Linked DNA regions of Callithrix jacchus. The protein of the gene in region 2 interacts with the protein of the main gene of each other region in a pairwise test. Links are inferred from orthologs where the notes say so. Each region holds a gene or a part of one and is shown on either strand. Other genes may lie near its edges. The genes, in order: HINFP and NPAT.

Region 1 (9,252 bases), about 11 Mb from region 2:
AAGAAGGAATTATTCCTATGTGAGGCAGAACAATGTTCAGGTTCAAACAGATGGCTTTTGAGAAGGATCAAAGTTCAAATCCTGGCTCTATTGTCTACTACCTACTAGTGGTATGACCTTGGTCAAGAACTTAACTCTTAACTTCTGAACATTCTGAAGATGATACAACTTTTTGTTTTTAATTTCACACTTACTATATATCAAGCACCACAGTAAGCATTTTATTTGCATTATGTCATTTAATTACCAACACCATCCTTTGAGGTAGGTGCTTTTATTTATTTATTTATTTATTTCGCTTTTTTTTGAGACTGAGTTTTGCTCTTATCTCCCAGGCTAAAGTGTAATGGTTCGATCTCGGCTCACTGCAACCTCTGCCTCCCGGGTTCAGGCAATTCTCCTGCCTCAGCCTCTCGAGTAGCTGGGATTACAGGTACCCACCACCATGCCACGCTAATTTTTGTATTTTTTTTTTTGAGATGGAATTTCGCTGTTGTTACCCAGACGGAGTACAATGGCACGATCTCGGCTCACCGCAACCTCCACCTTCTGGGTTCAAGCAATTCTCCTGCCTCAGCCTCCCGAGTAGCTGGGACTATAGGCAAGCACCACCATGCCCAGCTAATTTTTGTATTTTTAGTAGAGACGGGGTTTCACCTTGTTGACCAGGATGGTCTCGATCTCTTGACCTCGTGATTCACCCACCTCGGCCTCCCAAAGTGCTGGGATTATAGGCATGAGCCACCACGCCCAGCCTAATTTTTGTATTTTTTGTAGAGACAGGGTTTCCTCATATTGGCCAGGCTAGTCTCGAACTCCTGACCTCAGGTGATTCACCCGCCTCTGCCTCCCAGAGTGCTGGGATTACAGTCATGAGCCACCTCGCCCAGCTGGTAGGTGCTATTTTTAACATCATTTATAGATAAACAACTGAAGTTCCAGAGATCAAGTGACTTGCTCATGGCAACACTAGTGGTAATGGTAGGGCCATATTGGGCTGACTCTAGAGTTTGTACTCTTTCTACTCCATGTAGTCTGCAGATGAACCCAGAAGCTCCTTATTTCTTACTGAATCGTAAGTCCCCTGACAAGACTTTCAAAGTGTCATACAATCACAGCATTCTGGGAGGCCAAGGTGGGTGGATCATCTGAGGTTAGGAGTTCGAGACCAGTCTGGCCAACATGGTGAAACCCTGCCTTATCTCTACTAAAAATACAAAAATTAGCCAGGCATGGTGGCATAAGCCTGTAATCCCAGCTACTTGGGAGGCTGAGGCAGGAGAATCACTTGAACCTGGGAGGCAGAGGCTGCAATGAGTCAAGATCGTGCCACCATACACCAGCCTGGGCAACAGAGTGAGATTTTGTCTCAAAACAAAACAAAACAAAACCTAAAGGTTCTCAATTTTATTTTATTTTTATTTTTTGAGACAGAGTCTCCCTCTGTCACCCAGGCTAGAGTGCAGGGGTGCAATCTTGGCTCACTGCAACCTCCTCCTCGCGGGTTCAACCGACTCTCCTGCCTCAGCCTCCTGAGTAGCTGGGATTACAGGCATGCCACCACATCTAGCGAATTCTTTTATTTTTAGTAGCGATGGGATTTCATCAAGATGACCAGGGTGGTCTCAAACCCCTGACCTCAGGTGATCCACCCGCCTCGGCCTCCCACAGTGCTGGGATTACAGATCTGCAGACAAATGTAGAGTTATCCAGCACCTGCCAGAGAAGTTTGGATTTAGGAGGGCAGCAGTTAACCTAGAAATCTGCCCTTTTTAGTCAGCACCCCGGTTCTGATATAAGCAGTTTCAGAAGCATACTTTGAATAACAATAATAGAATAAACAAAACACAGAACAGAGGGTGACATTGCAAGCAAAACTTCTGGTAGAGAGAGGACACTAAGATGCCTTGGCTCTGTCTCCTGAGTGTCACTTCTCCTCAGAAATTCTCACTGATTCTTGCTGACCCCACCAAGTTGCTCTCTCTAGCCAACCTGAGAGAGGTGGGAACTCTGAAAAAGGCCTTATTGAATACTAAAAGGAAAAAGACAGAAAATATAAAAAAACAGAAGATCTTTCATTTCTCCAGTACAGGCTTTTCTGAACCTACTATACCTATTATGCCTACATAGTCTTTTCTCCTCCTCAGAGAAGTATCCAGTCACCCTTACCACTCTGGGGTGTACACGGGGTTGCTGAGCTGCTCACAGACTAACAGTGAATCCTATTACAAATACTGACTGCTGGGCCAAGCGCAGTGGCTCACAATCCCAGCACTTTGGGAGGCCAAGGCGAGGAGATGACTTGCGTTCAGGAGTTTGTACCAGCCTGGACAACATGGCAAAACTCTGTCTCTACTAAAAATACAAAAATCAGTCAGGTATAGTAGCACGCACCTATAGTCCCAGCTACTCGGGAGACTGAGGCGGGAGGATAGCTAGAGCCCAGGAGGCAAAGGTTGCAGTGAGCCAAGATCGCACCATTGTATTCCATCCTGGATGGCAGAGCCAGACCCTGTCTAAACAAAAACAAAAACAAAACAGACACAGTGGCTCATGCCTGTAATCCCAGCACTTTGGGAGGCCGAGGTGGGCAGAACACCTGAGGTTGGGAGTTCAAGACCAGCCTAACATGGAGAAACCTCATCTCTACTAAAAATACAAAATTAGCCAAGTGTGGTGGCACACACCTGTAATCCCACCTACTCAGGAGGCTGAGGCAGGAGAACTGCTTGAACCCAGGAGGTGGACGTTGCAGTGAGCCAAGATGGTGCCATTGCATTCCAGCCTTAGCAAGGAGAGCAAAACTCCATCTCAAAAAAAAAAAAAAGACATAAAATCCCACACCGCCTCTGACTGTATATCACCTACAGTATGAAAGCCCTTCTCAAAGGGGTCTCAATTCTCCAGGTCTAAGTAGAAAAATGAACATCTATTGAGAGGCTATGGTGTGTCAGCCCTGTGGTGCGTCCTCTCTACACTTCATCTGATGTAAGAGCACCCTCATTCCAATCCAAAGATCAGGCTCTTTCTCCCACACGATGATGCTGTCTGGCTTCCTCACCCATACTTCATTCTCTCTTCCTCTGATTAAGTCATCTTTGTCTCTGAATACTCTACATTCCCCTAAAACTCTCTGCCTACGCAACTTTTTTTTTTTTTTGAGACAGAGTCTTGCTCTGTCCCTCAGGCTAGAGTGTAGTAGTGCGATCTGGGATCAATGCAAACTCCATCTCCCAATGTTCAAGTGATTCTCGTGACTTAGTCTCCAAAGTATTACAGCGGGGACTACAGGCACATGCCACCATGACCAGCTAATTTTTGTAATATTAATAGAGATGGGGGTCTCACCATGTTGGCCGGGCTGGTCTCAAACTCCTGACCTCAAGTGATCCGCCTGCCTCGGCCTCACAAAGTGCTGGGATTACAGGTGTGAGCCACTGCGCCAGGCCTATTCGCCCTTCAAACCCAAAAGTCCTCTCTGATGACCCCTTTCCCGATGCATCCAGGTACAGCTGGCACATCCTATCTCCTGCCCACAGTATCTATACACATCTTCGCTATCAATGAAATGAAATTTGTTTCCCCTAGACTAGGAGTTTCTCAGGACAGTGGCCATCACTCATTCACTTCTCATTCTGATTCAGCACAGAGCTTTGTACACTCCAAGCACTCAGTAAATATCAGGAGATAATCACATTCCAGGAAGCCTTTCTAAACTACCTTATTTCTGAATCTACTCTTGCTCCTTGGTTCTATGGCTGGCACAGGCGACACCATAAAACCTCAACCTTATTTTTTTTTTTTTTTTTTTTTTGAGACGGAGTTTCGCTCTTGTTACCCAGGCTGGAGTGCAATGGCCCGATCTCGGCTCACCGCAACCTCTGCCCCCTGGGTTCAGGCAATTCTCCTGCCTCAGCCTCCTGAGTAGCTGGGATTACAGGCACGTGCCACCGTGCCCAGCTAATTTTTTGTATTTTTAGTACAGACGGGGTTTCACCATGTTTACCGGGATGGTCTCGATCTCTTGACCTCGTGATCCACCCGCCTCAGCTTCCCAAAGTGCTGGGATTACAGGCGTGAGCCACTGCGCCCGGCCCAACCCTATTTTTATATTGCCATGTCGTTTTATATATTGTAGTCTCACTTACCCAATTGGACAACCAGAAGCTTCTCAAAAGAAACCATATCAGAACGGCCTGTGTCCCTACACTGTGCCAAGCACAAATATTCTAAACAAACACCTACTGTTAGACTGGTGGGTAAGACCACGGAGGCCAGCTACCTGGAGATATAGAATGATGTGAAACCTAGGCAAAGCTCCCTATCTCTCTCTCACTGTCCTCTTGCCTTCTTTAATATCTCTTTCTGCGCCGTTAGTTTCTACTCTGAGGAGATAGGGGCATGATCATCACTTTACCCTCTTAAGACTTAAGAGAGCATATACTGCTTTGGGAGGCCGAGGCGGGTGGATCACGAGGTCAAGAGATCGAGACCATCCTGGTCAACATGGTGAAACCCACGTCTCTACTAAAAATACAAAAAATTAGCTGGGCACGGTGGCGCGCGCCTGTAATCCCAGCTACTCGGGAGGCTGAGGCAGGGGAATTGCCTGAACCCAGGAGGCGGAGGTTGCGGTGAGCCGAGATCGGGCCATTGCACTCCAGCCTGGGTAACAAGAGCGAAACTCCGTCTCAAAAAAATAAAAAAGAGAGCATATACTGTAACGCAAGACCATGAATGAACTCTAGTATTCAATAAAAAGAGGGCTCAGGTCCCAAACGCCTAAGAACTCACAATTTGGCCAAAAAGATATGACTGATATGTGAAGACAACGACCAAAGCAAAGTACCCGTTGAGGGAGACCAGGACAGAGAGAAACCTGCCCCCCGACACCCCCCCACCCCCGGTCAGGCGAGAAGGAAGGCTCCCCTAAGCTGTGGGTCCCGCACCACGCCTCGAAGGAAAGGTAGAATTCGGACAGAAGGAAGGAGACCGTCTCGTTGGGCAAAACCTGTCACTCGCAGTCCCGCAAGCTTCCCGGAATCCTTCCTCTAAGGCGTGGCGGCGACCGAGTCTCAGCCGCAGCGAAGCCCCTACACTAGAAAGCAGGGAGGTTGGAGTCGGGGTGAGGGGAAAGACCAGGGCAGACCAGAGTGGCCAAGCGGCAAGAAGACTCGCCGAGGTGGCTCGGGAAGAGCTTGGGCTCCTGCTAGCCCCTGCAGAGCACACGTCCCAGCTTACCGTCCGTCGGCTCCGGGTCTCCTCAGCTCTTCTCCTACTTCAATCTCCGGGAAGGCTCTTGAGGGACGGTCAAGGAAAGCCAATCGTCGCTGTCGGATCCGACTGACAACCAATGGCAGCTGGGTCTGGCGGAACCCGTGTGCACCAAAACACGGAAGGGGCGGGAACGGTGGGTGGGGCTCGGCGTCCCGGGTTGACTGAGGGGCGACCGGATACGTGAAAAAGGTAGCGCTTGACAGCGCCTAGGCGCTCGGGGCGACGCACAGGCGGGGAGCCTACGGGCCAGAGTTCCCCTAACTGCGCAGACTCGGCCTCCGGGACTCAATGGGCATGCGCAGGGCCCGCGATTGGTGCCTAGTGGGGTCTCCTTCACGTGGTTCTTCGCCTTGAGTTCGCTGGTTGCGTGGGCCTCCCGGAGGAAAAGGCGTGGGAGGCTGCCCAGCGCTATCGGCCCCGCTAGGGACAGACTGAAGGTTCTACGGTTCTACCCTTTCCTTAAGCTTCTTAGTCATATGTCTTAAATGTTGGTATTATACGTTTGCTTCTCTTTCCCCCCAAACTCGGCTTCCCTTCATCCATCCATTTGTTCAGGTCAGAAACCTGGCAGTCATCACTGATTCCTCTCTCTCACTGATCACATCCAATCCATTGCCAAGTTCTATGGATTCTACCTTTTTTAAAAACAGGATCTTTCAAATTCATCCCCTTTTCTTTATCTTCACTGCCTCCCCACCTCCCCTGTCCAATGATGAGGTCCAGGGAGGATTTATACATTAACAGGTCCCGCTGCGTGCACACTTGCTTCCTTCCAAAGCATTCTCCACAGAGCACTCAAAGGGATCTTTGCAGGCCAGGCGCGGTGGCTCACGCCCGTAAAGACGGGCGGATCATGAGGTCAAGAGATCCACCCACTTCAGCCTCCCACAGTGCTAGGATTACAGGCGTGAGCCACCGCACCCGGCCCTGAAATAAATTTTAAAATGCCATTAAGATAGTAAGGTCATACTTGTGCATAAAGTTTGGTTTTAACAACAGTGAGCTATAACTTGGTCCCTATTTTAAAATACGGTTTTGCAGGCGTTGTGGCTCATGCCTGTAATCCCAGCACTTTGGGAGACCGAGGCGGGCGGATCATGAGGTCAGGAGTTTGAAACCAGCCTGGCCAACATGGCGAAAACCTGTCTCTACTAAAAATACAAAAATTAGCTGGGCATGGTGGCGGGCACCTATAGTCCCAGCTACTCGGGAGCCTGTGGCAGGAGAATCGCTTGAACCTGGGAGGCAGAGGTTGCAGTGAGCAGAGGTCGCACCACTGCACTCCAGCCTGGGCAACAGAGTGAGACATTGTCTAAAAAAAAAAAAAAATTTTATTCAGGGCCAGGCGCAGGGGCTCACGCCTGTAATCCCAGCACTTTGGGAGGTTGAGGCGGGTGGATCACAAGGTTAGGAGCTTGAGACCAGCCTGGCCAACATGGTGAAAACCCATCTCTACTAAAAATACAAATATTAGCTGGGCATGGTGGTGGGCGACTGTCATCACAGTTTCGAGGGAAGCTGAGGCAGTAGAATCATTTGAACCATGGAGGCAGAGGTTGCAGTGAGCCAAGATTGCACCATTGCATTCCACCCTGGGCGACAGGGTGAGACTCTGTCTCAACACACATATATATATGTAATTCGAAAGTAATAAAATATATCTTACCAACTTTATTCATTCAAAAATACAGTTATAGTAGTATGTCATGAAGTGCCAACCTCATTTTAATTCAGATTTACACCACTGAAAATGAAAATAGCTTTTAGCTTTATTTAGCAATTTCATGAAGAAAAAGTTCATTCACAGAGCTGTGTAAACTCAAACATAGGTTACAGAGCAAAAATTCCAGGATTGCTCTGGGATCCATATATATGTTTCCAAATTTTAAAGCAGTGTCATGCTGTCTAGCATAGTTTACTTCTATCTCAATCTGCTTCTCTTGAAAACAAGCCACAGTTTTGGCTGGGTAATTCAGACATTTCCTGAGATTTGTTCTTTAAAAGCTGCCATAAAAACTGAGAGCGTAAGTCATACTCATTAAAAGCTGTGGATCTCTTCTGAAAGTGTGAAATGGATTAAGCTGATGAAAGTATGTTTCATTCATCTAAATTTCCCTATTTTTGAAATGTGATCAGGCTCTTCTTCACTAAATTATGTGATTCCATGGAACTCTGGGCAGCTCAGCACTGGAAGCTCAATACAGAATCCAGTTACCATCTACTCAATTCCCAGGTCCAGTAGAAATCTGAATACCTGTTCTTCCATCAACAAGTTTCTTGTGCAATCACAAGTTCACTGTGTTTGGTTGTTGTGTCATACTGGTAAACAAACTGTTCCTCTATGAACCACTAAGAGTTACATTTCTTAGATTAGGGGAAACAGCTTGAAAATCTCTTTGAATTTTCATGACCTAGAGATAAGCATTTCATTATGAAAAATCAGCCAAATCAATGTGTCCATCAATGGAGGATTGGATAAAGAAAATGTTGTAAGGCTGGGCGCGGTGACTCACGCCTATAATCCCAGCACTTTGGGAGGCTGAGGCAGGTGGATCATGAGGTCAAGAGATAGAGACCAGCCTGGTCAACAAGGTGAAACCCTGTCTCTACTAAAAATACAAAAATTAGCTGAGTACTCAGGAGGGGGGCTGAGGCAGAAGAATTGCTTGAACCCAGGAGGTGGAGGTTGTGGTGAGCCGAGATCGTGCCATTGCAGTCCAGTGTGGGTAACGAGCGAAACTCCGTCTCAAAAAAAAGAAAATGTTGTGTGTGTATGCACACACACACAGTGGAATACTACTCGCCATAAAAAAATGAAAGTATGTGTTTTCCAGCAACATGGTTGGAACTGGAGGCCATTATCCTTGGTGATATAACTCAGAAACAATAAGTCAAATATGGTATATTCTCACTTATAAGTGGGAGCTAAATAATGGGTACATATGAACATACAGAGTGGCATAATAGACATTGGAGACTATAAAATGTGAGAAGGTAGGAGGAAGGTGAGGGTTGAAAAACTATCTATTGGGTACTATGTTCACTATTTGGGCGATGCATACACTAAAAAAAGCCGAGTTCATCCCTATGCATGCAATATATGCATGTAAGAAACCTGCACTTCCTGCAAGATCTGCACATGTACCCCAGAACTTAAACTATAAAAAAAAAAAAGAATTGTTTTTACCGTGAGTGGCACAGAAACGTCCACCATGTTTTCAGTAGCCTGGAAGAAATAGCCTGCATGTAAGTCTCCAGAGTGAATGGAAAAATTATAAACTGATTACCTTTTGCAAAATTATTATTCAAATGACTTTTCATTGTTATTTAATAAATGAAGTAGCCTCCTAGGTGATGGGAGTGACCTGTCTCAATAAAAAATTATAAAAAAATAGAAAAAAAAGAGACACCTGCATTTGTCCCCCCATATATACAAAATTAAATTCTTTTTTTTTTTTTTTTTGAAGTGGAGTCTTGCACTGTCACCCAGGCTGTAGTGTGCAGTAGCACAATCTCGGGTCACTGCAATCTCCACCTCCTGGGTTCAAGCAATTCTCCTGCCTCAGCCTCCCAAGTAGCTGGGACTACAAGCGTGCACCATCACACCTAGCTAATTTTTTTGTTTTTAGTAGAGACAGCGTTTCACATGTTGGCCAGGATGGTCTTGATCTCCTGACCTCATGATCCACCCACCTCAGCCTCCCAAAGTGCTGGGATTACAGGCATAAGCCACTGCACCTGGCCCCAACCAAATTATTTAATTGAAAAAAAAAAATAACCAAATATCTATACCCTCCGTTCTTCCCAGATATCTCATATTTGGTGAGTAGTGTGGACAGGAGCCTGAGGAATACTAACAATTTCCACGTGCTATCTACCCAAAGGTATGTGCCCTAAACACCTTGAGATGCAGTTAGTCATAGAACATCAAGGCGGGATATCACCTGAATGATTATCCAGGTCACCCTTATTTTA
Region 2 (9,170 bases):
ATCTAGAATACATTCTGTTCTAAAAACCCTCTGACTTTGACCATCTTGAGTTCTCATTTTAGATTAGACTTGATACATTCTAGTTTACTTTTGTCCCAGAAGTTCCAAAATAATGTAGTAAATAGTTGACTACACTCACATTCATAGAATATTATATAGCAAGTCCTCAAATAACATCATTTTGTTAAATGTTTTTGTTATGCTGCTGAGGAGGAAAAAAATCAATTTCTGGCAGAAGCCACTGGATGTGTGGAGTTTACACATTTACCCCATGCCTGCATGGGATTTCTCCAGGTACAGCTGCTTCTCCCCACACTCTAAAGATGCACATGTTGCTAACATGTGCTTAAGTTATTATAGTGACAGTGAGTGCGCCCTTCAATAGAATGGCACCCTTCTAGGGTTAGTTCCTGTCGTGCATCCTAAGGGATAAGCTCTAGCTACCTGCAACCTTGAGCTGGACGAATTGGGTAAATAATTACCTTGTGTTTTTCTTTCTTTTTTTTTTTTTGAGACAGAGTCTTGCTCTGTTGCCAGGCTAGAGTGCAGTGGCGATCTCCACTCACTGTAACCTCTGCCTCCCAGGTTCAAGGGATTCTCTACATCAGCCTTCCGAGTAGCTGGTTCTACAGGTGTGCGCCACCACAACCAGCTAATTTTTGTATTTTTAGTAGAGTCAGGGTGTCACCTTGTTGGTCTCAATCTCTTGACCTTGTGATCTGCCTGCCTCAGCCTCCCAAAGTGCTACGATTACAGGCGTGCACCACCGTGCCCAGCCAATTACTTTGTTTTTATTAATCCTTCTTAAATGTAAATGTAGTTTACATTTATTTCAATGTTTAATATTATAAGTGTTTTGGTCTTTATTTACAAATGTGGTGATATTTTTGTGACCAAAAATATGCCGAAGAAATTCTAGTATATGAGTTAGCCTATGGTAGAATTAGTTACACATCATTTTACTTAAAGTTGCCGTTTTCAAGAACCTATTGAACCTATTAAATGAGGACTTACTACATATATGATTAACCAGTTATCTGCCTACAAAATGTTTCATTATCATCATGAAGAATCTGACTATAACCAACTCTCCATCACGTAATGGGAAATTTTCGGTACAAATTAATTCTAAATCTCAGATGTTAGATGATTGAAAATCCAAATACACTGAAAATACAGGCCAGGTGCGGTGACTCATGCCTGTAATCCCCGCATTTTGGGAAGCTGAGGCAGGTGGATCACCTCAGGCCAGGAGTTCGAGACCAGCCTGGCCAACACGGTGAAACCCTGTCTCTACTCAAAATACAAAAATTAGTCAGCGGGGGCAGGGCGTGTGGTGGCGAGTGCCTGTAATACCAGCTGCTTGGGAGGCTGAGGCAGGAGGATCATTTGAACTTGGGAGGCAGAGGTTGCAGTGAGCCAAGATTGTACCGTCACACTCCAGCCTGGGCAACAAGAATGAAACTCCATCTCAAAATAAATTAATAAATAAAATAAAAAAGAAAATACAAATGAGGGACTAATCATCTCTTATCAGTATGATACAAATAGTTACTCTTCAACTAGTATTAGTTATTACTGTTTAGATAAAAGAAGTGTATTTTTTGTGTAAACTTACTGACGAAGGGGTCTGAATAGGTAAGAAAGTGTGCCTGAGTTTCCTTCTTCTTAACATATTATTTTCAGCTTACTTTTATTATAAGTGGAGGTAGTAATGGGTAACTCAACTGAAGGGGAAACACCACTGAAAAAGAGAAGGAAAGATAAGATCCTAACTATTTGAAGGGTATTCTTTCTTCTTACTTGCAGAGAGGAAAAGATAAAAAGAAAGCAGTCTAAAGCAAGCAAGAGATAGTAAAGCACCCTATAGGAAAACACCTCCTTCACACATTCCACTATTTCCCTAGAAACAATAATCATTTAATGTCCTTTAAGCATGCAAATAATTCTTAGGAAGCCTTACCTTATGGTGCCTTATATTACTAGATCCACAAATAACAGAGAAAAGGTTTCTCTCTATGAAGTTATGACTTACTTGGAGATAGAAGATATATATATATATATATATATATAAATAACTGTAACGCAAAACGAAAGTGGTAAGAAAATAGAGCGGACTTACTTCATGGGAAGGGAGGGGCTGGAGAAACCATTACTAAGCTTGAGGAAATGAGGTCTGAAGGCGCAGATGAGTTCTGAAGGATGGCTGGGAATCCCAAAGAGGTTGACAGAAAGCATATGTGCAAGCATATTTGGGGAACATGTCCAGTTTGGATGAAGCACGAAGTTTATGAAGCGGAACAGTTGGAGATACAACAGAAAACACAAAATGGGTAAGGTTCGCGAAAAGCTTCAGACAGCAATGAGTACATGTTATTCCATAAACTAAGAGGAACGTCATAATCACAGCCATACTTGGCAAGTGTTTATTAAATATCTATGTTTTGGTGATATAAAGGTGAACAGAACCAGCAGCTCTTGACCTCTCATCGGTGTGTCAGTTCTGGTCCTGTCTGACCTCAAATTCGTTCTTGTCCTTCTGTTGCTCTCTACTGTATGACATAAAGCCTGACTCTATACAGACAATGTTTCTCGGGCTCTTCTGTCAGCCTGCTTCTGGCTGGGCTCAGTAAATAGAAAGCACAGGTGGGAAGTTGGAGGGCAGAAGGAAGTAGCCACATTTTTCCCCCATTCCCATTCTGCCTCAGTAGAGTCTCCTCTATGACTACCATTCCCTCATCAGACAAGTCTTGCATGTTCCATACAGTCAACCCAGCCTCTTGGTCGCTTCCTCTCTCCTTATCCTTCTGATTAGTATAGTGGCTTCCTATTGCTGCTAACCACTGAGATGTCTTAGTTGAAAGCTGCTGGGCATCTTAGCCTTTCTCTCACCAGTGTAACCAATTATCTCATTAAATCCTTCCATGTTAAATACTCAGAATGTTTTCTATTTTTTGAATGCATGCTATATCATACAGAAGGTAACAAACCTATTAAAGAAAACATTTACAGATGATAGTTTTGGAGGCTCCCAGAATTCTTGAAGCTTGTCCATTAATCCAAGGATAAGACTACAGAATAAAACTAAAAAAAAAAAAGTAAGTTTCTTCTTTTTTTTTTTTGCTAATCAATGAGAGCTTGTTATGTTGCTCAGGTTGGCCTTGAACTCATAGCCTCGCCTCCTCAAGCACCAGGACAACTGGCCGGAGCCACTGCGGCTCCAGAAAAAAAGTAAGTTTCAAATTGGGAAAATGAAAAAGTTCCAGAAACCAACAGCGGTGATGGTCGAAGAACACTGTCAATGTACTTAATGCTGCTGAACTGTACGCTGAAAACAAACAACCAACAACTCCTTGTTTTGGGCTGTAAGAACTACATATTTTAAAATGGCCAAAATGGTGAATTTTGTTATGTATATTTTATCAAAAAAAGTAAATAAACAGCTACAATAAGACATGATAAGACAATGCCCTGGCAACATTTAAGAAGTACTAACTGTGAATGAGGTTTCAGAGATCAGGTGTGACTTGAACCTTGAATGCAAGCGTAGTAGCAAAGAGGAGCAGAATTCATTTAAGAATATTCAGAGAAACTTCAATTCGTTTGGGATGTCTGCAGCATATGGCAGATGTTAAGAAGTTGAGATCAAGCAGGAGAGGTAGGGAGGATCAGTTCTACAGAGCACCTTGAAGGATAAATGGATAAAAACGCAACTGACTGCCCAGAGGCAATAAAAAACACTTTGATGTATTCTGGCCTGTACGGTATCTTGTGAAATCCCAACAGGGCAACAAGGGCTACTTAAGCGGAGTAGTGAGATGCAAAGTCAGAGCGCAGTATCCTGAAGGATACAGGGTACTTACAGAACAGCAACTAAGTGGAACTCACTGTGTTCTCTGAATAAACTGGACTTGTGAAAGGGTGACACACAACATAAGACAAAATGTTCTGTCTAATGGGTGTCTAATGTTTCGAGAGGTCCAGAAGAGTGTTTTGGGTGTGTGTGTCTGAAAGTAGAAAAACCTAATTATCTGAACACTAAGGGCAGAAAACTTACTTCTCTATGTTCAGCAATTGGCATAGTGTTTGGAACTATCAGGCACCCAAAGATTTGCTGGAAAAAAAACCCATTATGAAGGGGTCAATAACAAGGGGAGCTGAAGATGGGGAGGGGGCAGATAGAAGAATCATGAGTAAATAATAAAACTGATATGAGAAAGACATACACGATATATATTTTTAAAATTGTGCAATGACAAATGACCAAGTAACAGCATTAGGCATAAGGAGGCTTTTTTTGGTACTGTTTACTCCTGCTCTCTTTAAAGTTTTAGTAAGAACAAAATCATTTCAACTTTCAGAATAGAAGGTACAGTGTGAATGCTTCAGGGAGATGTGTAACCACAGCAAACAAAATGAATTGCAAGGACAAGTATCCGGGAAGCCATGACAGAAGTCCGAGTGAGAAGTAACGGCGGGCACACTACGGGACTGGTGGCAGTGAAATGGAATGTGAATGACCAAGATTTTTAAGACAAAACCATGGCTGATTAAAAGTAGGAAGTCAGCAGAGTGGCTGGGTTATGGAAAAGGAATACTCACAAATTGATGTGAATTATTCCGATTAGAAAATGATTCTGCTTTCTTAAGATTTTGTAATTAGGAGTGATTCTGCCCTCCAGGGGACTTACAAGCAGTATCTAGAGACATTTTTCCTCATCACAACTGGGTAAGGGTAGGGAATGAGTGTCCTACTGTAATCTAGTAAATAGAAGCCAGGAATGCTACTAAACATCCTACAATGTTTAAGTACAGGATAGATTCCCATAATAAAGAATTTTGAAGATAGATCCCCATAATAAAGAATTTTGAGGCCCAAAATGTTAACAGTACTGAGGCTGAGAAACCATGTTTAAGACTAGTTACCGAAACTCAACTAGATTACCAAACTGCCAAAACTCAGAATTCCTAAGCAAAAGATTAATCAGACATTAACAAAACATTAGTTTAAACTTGTCATTAGTTTCTTCAAAAATGGATGGTGGAACCATTTCCGTTTAACGTTTCCTGCAAAATGTGTTTATCAAGAGCCCTGCCCAAATAGCATTTTTGTGGACAGCGCTGGGCATTTAAAAGAGGCACAAGACAAATGGATTTTCCGAACAATAAAATAACGGAAGCAAATGGCTGTGAATACTATGGGAGGCTTCATCACAGATGTCTGCCTTTTAAGACGTCGCATACGATGTCTGTAAATCACTGGCTCGGGTTTTGAGCTTTACCTCTCGTCCCCTGTGGTACAATCCCCTTTATTCTATCAGGGGACAAACAACAACACAACCCTTCTCTCACACAGACAATACACCCTGACAAACAAGTGACCCACAAACCACCCTCCTCAAATGAAGGTAAAACTAAGGCTAGAAAACGCTCAACTAAAAGGCAATCCTCCGAAATTTTTTGCTGATCAAAGAAATAAGAATTGCTGTTTTAAAATATGCCACTGGCATTTCACACCTCTACACTGGACGACGTACTGCGAGGAGGGCAGAGAAGGAAGATCACCCCTACTCCCAAACCCGTAGTTATAAGGGCGGGTTATTAGAAGGGCGCCAGGAAGGTCTCCCTAAAAGATGGGGGCGGGGGGCCCGGGGAAGTCCCTATTTTGGTCCCAGCACTGACCAGCGAAAGTGCTCAGAAGGTTGAAGCACACGCAGGCCGTCCGTCAAGCAGACAACTCTTTCAGGGATCCTAATTAAGCGCGGAGGCCTGACTTTCCCTCCGAATCCGGCCCCAGGTGTTTCCAGCCCGAGCTTCCCCTCGTCCCTCCCCTTGCCACGCAGCCTCCGAAGACAGGAGCATCGACATACAAAGAGCCTTAAACTGCCCAGAACCACCGCCAGTCTCAACTCGTAAGCCAGGAGGCAAACCCCCCGAAGCTTCCCCACCCAGGGAAGACCTCTGGCCTTAAAGGTCCTTCCGTCCGGCATAGCCAGGTCCAATACCCTCCTTCCCGCGTCCGCGCTTACCCAATACCAGCCGGGCTACATCCGAGGGTAACAACATGATCAAAACCGCAGCGGGAACCACAATAAAGAACGAGAGTCAGGTTAGAGCAAACGCAGCGACAGCTCCGGCGCCGCATCTCCCGGTTCCAGTGGCGGCACTGAACCCGCGGCAATTTGTCCCGCCTCTTTCGCTGCATGCCAGCCAATTGCTTCCGCCAGAGAAAGAAAGGCGCCGAAATGAAACCCACCTCCGTTCGCCTTTAGAACTGTCGTCATTTCCGTCCTCACACTAGGAGGGGCGGGGCTGAGGACGGCGAGGAGGGGCGGGGCTGAGGACGACGAGGAGGGGCGGGGCTGAGGACGACGAGGAGGGGCGGGGCTGAGGACGACGAGGAGGGGCGGGGCTGAGGACGACGAGGAGGGGCGGGGATGAGGACGGCGAGGAGGGGCGGGGATGAGGACGGCGAGGAGGGGCGGGGATGAGGACGGCGAGGAGGGGCGGGGATGAGGACGGCGAGGAGGGGCGGGGATGAGGACGGCGAGGAGGGGCGGGGATGAGGACGGCGAGGAGGGTGGGTCCTCGCCCGCGAGCCCGAGCCGGAGAGCGAGCCGCAAACGCTAGGTCGTGGGTCATTGGTGGATAGGGCGCAGGCGCGTTTGCTCCGACGGGCCGAATGTTTTGGGGGCGTGTTTTGAGCGGGGAGACCGCGTGATATTTGGCGCGCATGGGCACAACTTGCTCCGCCGCCGCTCGGCCTTGCTTCTTCCTCCAGAAGTGGGCGCTGCGCGGTCATGCCAGGTTTGAACCGGAAGCAGGAGTAGGTACCTGCGTGGCTAACGGAGAAAAGAAGCTGTGGCAGCGGGAGGAGGCCAGAGGAGCCGGGATCTGGGCTGCAGCCGCCGCCGCCGCCGCCTTTGATGCCACTTTGACCTTCCGAGTGCAGCGGTAGGGACTAGGGACTAGGGACTGGGAAGCAACGCAACGGCTTCTGCGTTGGAAAATTCAGCCGCGTGCCAACCAGTCTGTCTTCACCCCAGACACCCAATCCCATGCACCCCTCCGGAGTGGCCCTTGGCTCGTCCTCACTCCATCTTTCTCGGCCTTTCTCTGAGTTCCTAGCGGATTTGCCAATAACCTCCTTTTAAGTGCCCTGAATTGCACCCTCCCTTCTGCGCATCCTTTCTTCGTGTCACGTTAGGGTTCAGATTTAACTACGAGACGTGACTAGTCATCTTTTGATCTCTCTCTCTCATAATTAGTACTTTTAGTCAGCGAGCATTTATTGATGTTTCAACTTTAGCTTCGAGGTTACGCTTGGGCTGTGGAATCGTAGGGCTGGAGTTAGTCTGACTGTCCTCCGTGTGGCCTCGCTCTACTGTCTAACTAACTTGTGAAGATAAGTGAGATAATCTTGACCCGAGGTGAGCACTCGTGAGCGTTACTTGCTATTTTTGCCAGGTACAACTACAATGGATTTTAATGTGTGTGATAGAGGAGTACTGTGATGGTAGAGGAGTGACTGGCTCTTTACAAACTCACCATCAATTCAGTTTGTGGTGAGACTTCGCAGTGTTACCTTGGCAGATGATAGAAGCCTTCCAGATGGAAGGAAAAAAATGCGTGTAAAGGCACAAAGTGTAGGACCCTGAAGCTCCAGAGTGAGTTCTGGCATTGAATGAAATATATATATATATATATATATATTTTTTTTTTTTTTTTTTTTTTTTTTTGAGATGGAGTTTCGCTCTTGTTACCCAGACTGGAGTGCAATGGCAGGATCTCGGCTCACCGCAACCTCCGCCTCCTGGGTTCAGGCAATTCTCCTGCCTCAGCCTCCTGCGTAGCTGGGACTACAGACGCGCACCACCATGCCCAGCTAATTTTTGTATTTTTAGTAGAGAGGGGGTTCCCCTTGTTGACCAGGATGGTCTTGATCTCTTGACCTTGTGATCCACCCGCCTCGGCCTCCCAAAGTGCTGTGATTATAGACGTGAGCCACCGCACCCGGCATGAATGAAATATATTTTGCGGGTTTTCAACAGTTGTGGTTATAGGAATGGATGAGATCAAGAAGACAAAGCTGTTCTTTGAGGTGTGAGTGGAAGAACAATCGAAGGAGACTTTCGAAACAGTGATAAAGGAAGGGAGTATGATCATTGCTAACCTTTATTGAACACTTGCTGTGTTTCAGGCACTGTAAGCATGTATATGGGTCCTTATAAGAGCTCTTCGAGGTGGGTACTAGTATCGTTTTTCATTTTATCATTGAGAAACTGAGGTTTGAAGAGATGAGTGAACTTGTTTTAGATGATACAGTTTGTAAGTGGCTGAACCAGGATTTGAACTAATATAGTCTGATTGCAGATGCCACACTCTTTGGCACTAGAAAAGAATGGCATGCTAAGGGCAGAGTTATTTCTAGGAAGATGGGATATAAGCATCATTGTCAGGTTCTGCAAAGGGATCAAATTGGTTGAGATCTAAAAAGAAACATTGAATTTATCAATTCAGAGCCCTAAGGAAGTAGGAAATCTGTATCTTCTCATTTGAACCTTGAGTGGAACCTAGATATTCTGAATTAATGTATAAATGAACTTCATCTTTATATGGTGACACGCATACTCTAGTTGACTACTTAATAGTTCCTCTACCTTTCAGTTCTTCCAACATACTGTGTACTTTTACATCATAGGACCCTTTGGCAATGCTAGTCTCCTTCCCTGAAGTGTTGATCCCCCTTTTTTTGATTGGCACCAGTTAGTTCACATCTTGGCTTTATTATAACCTCCTGTGCAAGATGTTCCCTGACAACTCATCTAAAATGATCCTCTCTACTGTTATTTTTTATTACTGTATTTTTGTTTCCTCAGAGGCATACATCACAATTTGGAATTCTGCATTGATTTATCAGTTGTTTATTGTCACTCTGCTGCCCAGATATACCTCGATGAGGGTAGGATTTGTATCTGTTTAGTTCATTATTTGTCTAGCTATACGTAGTAAATATTGTTTGCATGTGTCAGTGAATGAACATCTTCTGTTTATGTAGATAATGCTAAACTATTTTGTTTTCTTCAAAGTAATCATTAAGAAACTGAAGAGAAGAAAAACAAGTTCAAAGAAGTCATAGCATGGGGAAAAAAAGTCAAGTTTAGGGCTGC

The links.
Region 1: the proteins of NPAT (region 2) and HINFP interact in a two-hybrid assay, tested with the Homo sapiens proteins (2 studies listed by BioGRID). The link is inferred for Callithrix jacchus from reciprocal best matches to the Homo sapiens genes NPAT and HINFP.

What each region holds. Positions count from the first base shown.
Region 1 is NC_133511.1:18,778,356-18,787,607, reverse strand, and holds the start of HINFP (histone H4 transcription factor), read right to left. Parts: upstream 5,290-9,252; 5' UTR 5,012-5,289; intron 1-5,011. UniProt on the Homo sapiens protein: Transcriptional repressor that binds to the consensus sequence 5'-CGGACGTT-3' and to the RB1 promoter. Transcriptional activator that promotes histone H4 gene transcription at the G1/S phase transition in conjunction with NPAT.
Region 2 is NC_133511.1:8,022,907-8,032,076, forward strand, and holds the start of NPAT (protein NPAT), read right to left. Parts: upstream 6,190-9,170; 5' UTR 6,067-6,189; coding exon 6,030-6,066; intron 1-6,029. UniProt on the Homo sapiens protein: Required for progression through the G1 and S phases of the cell cycle and for S phase entry. Activates transcription of the histone H2A, histone H2B, histone H3 and histone H4 genes in conjunction with MIZF.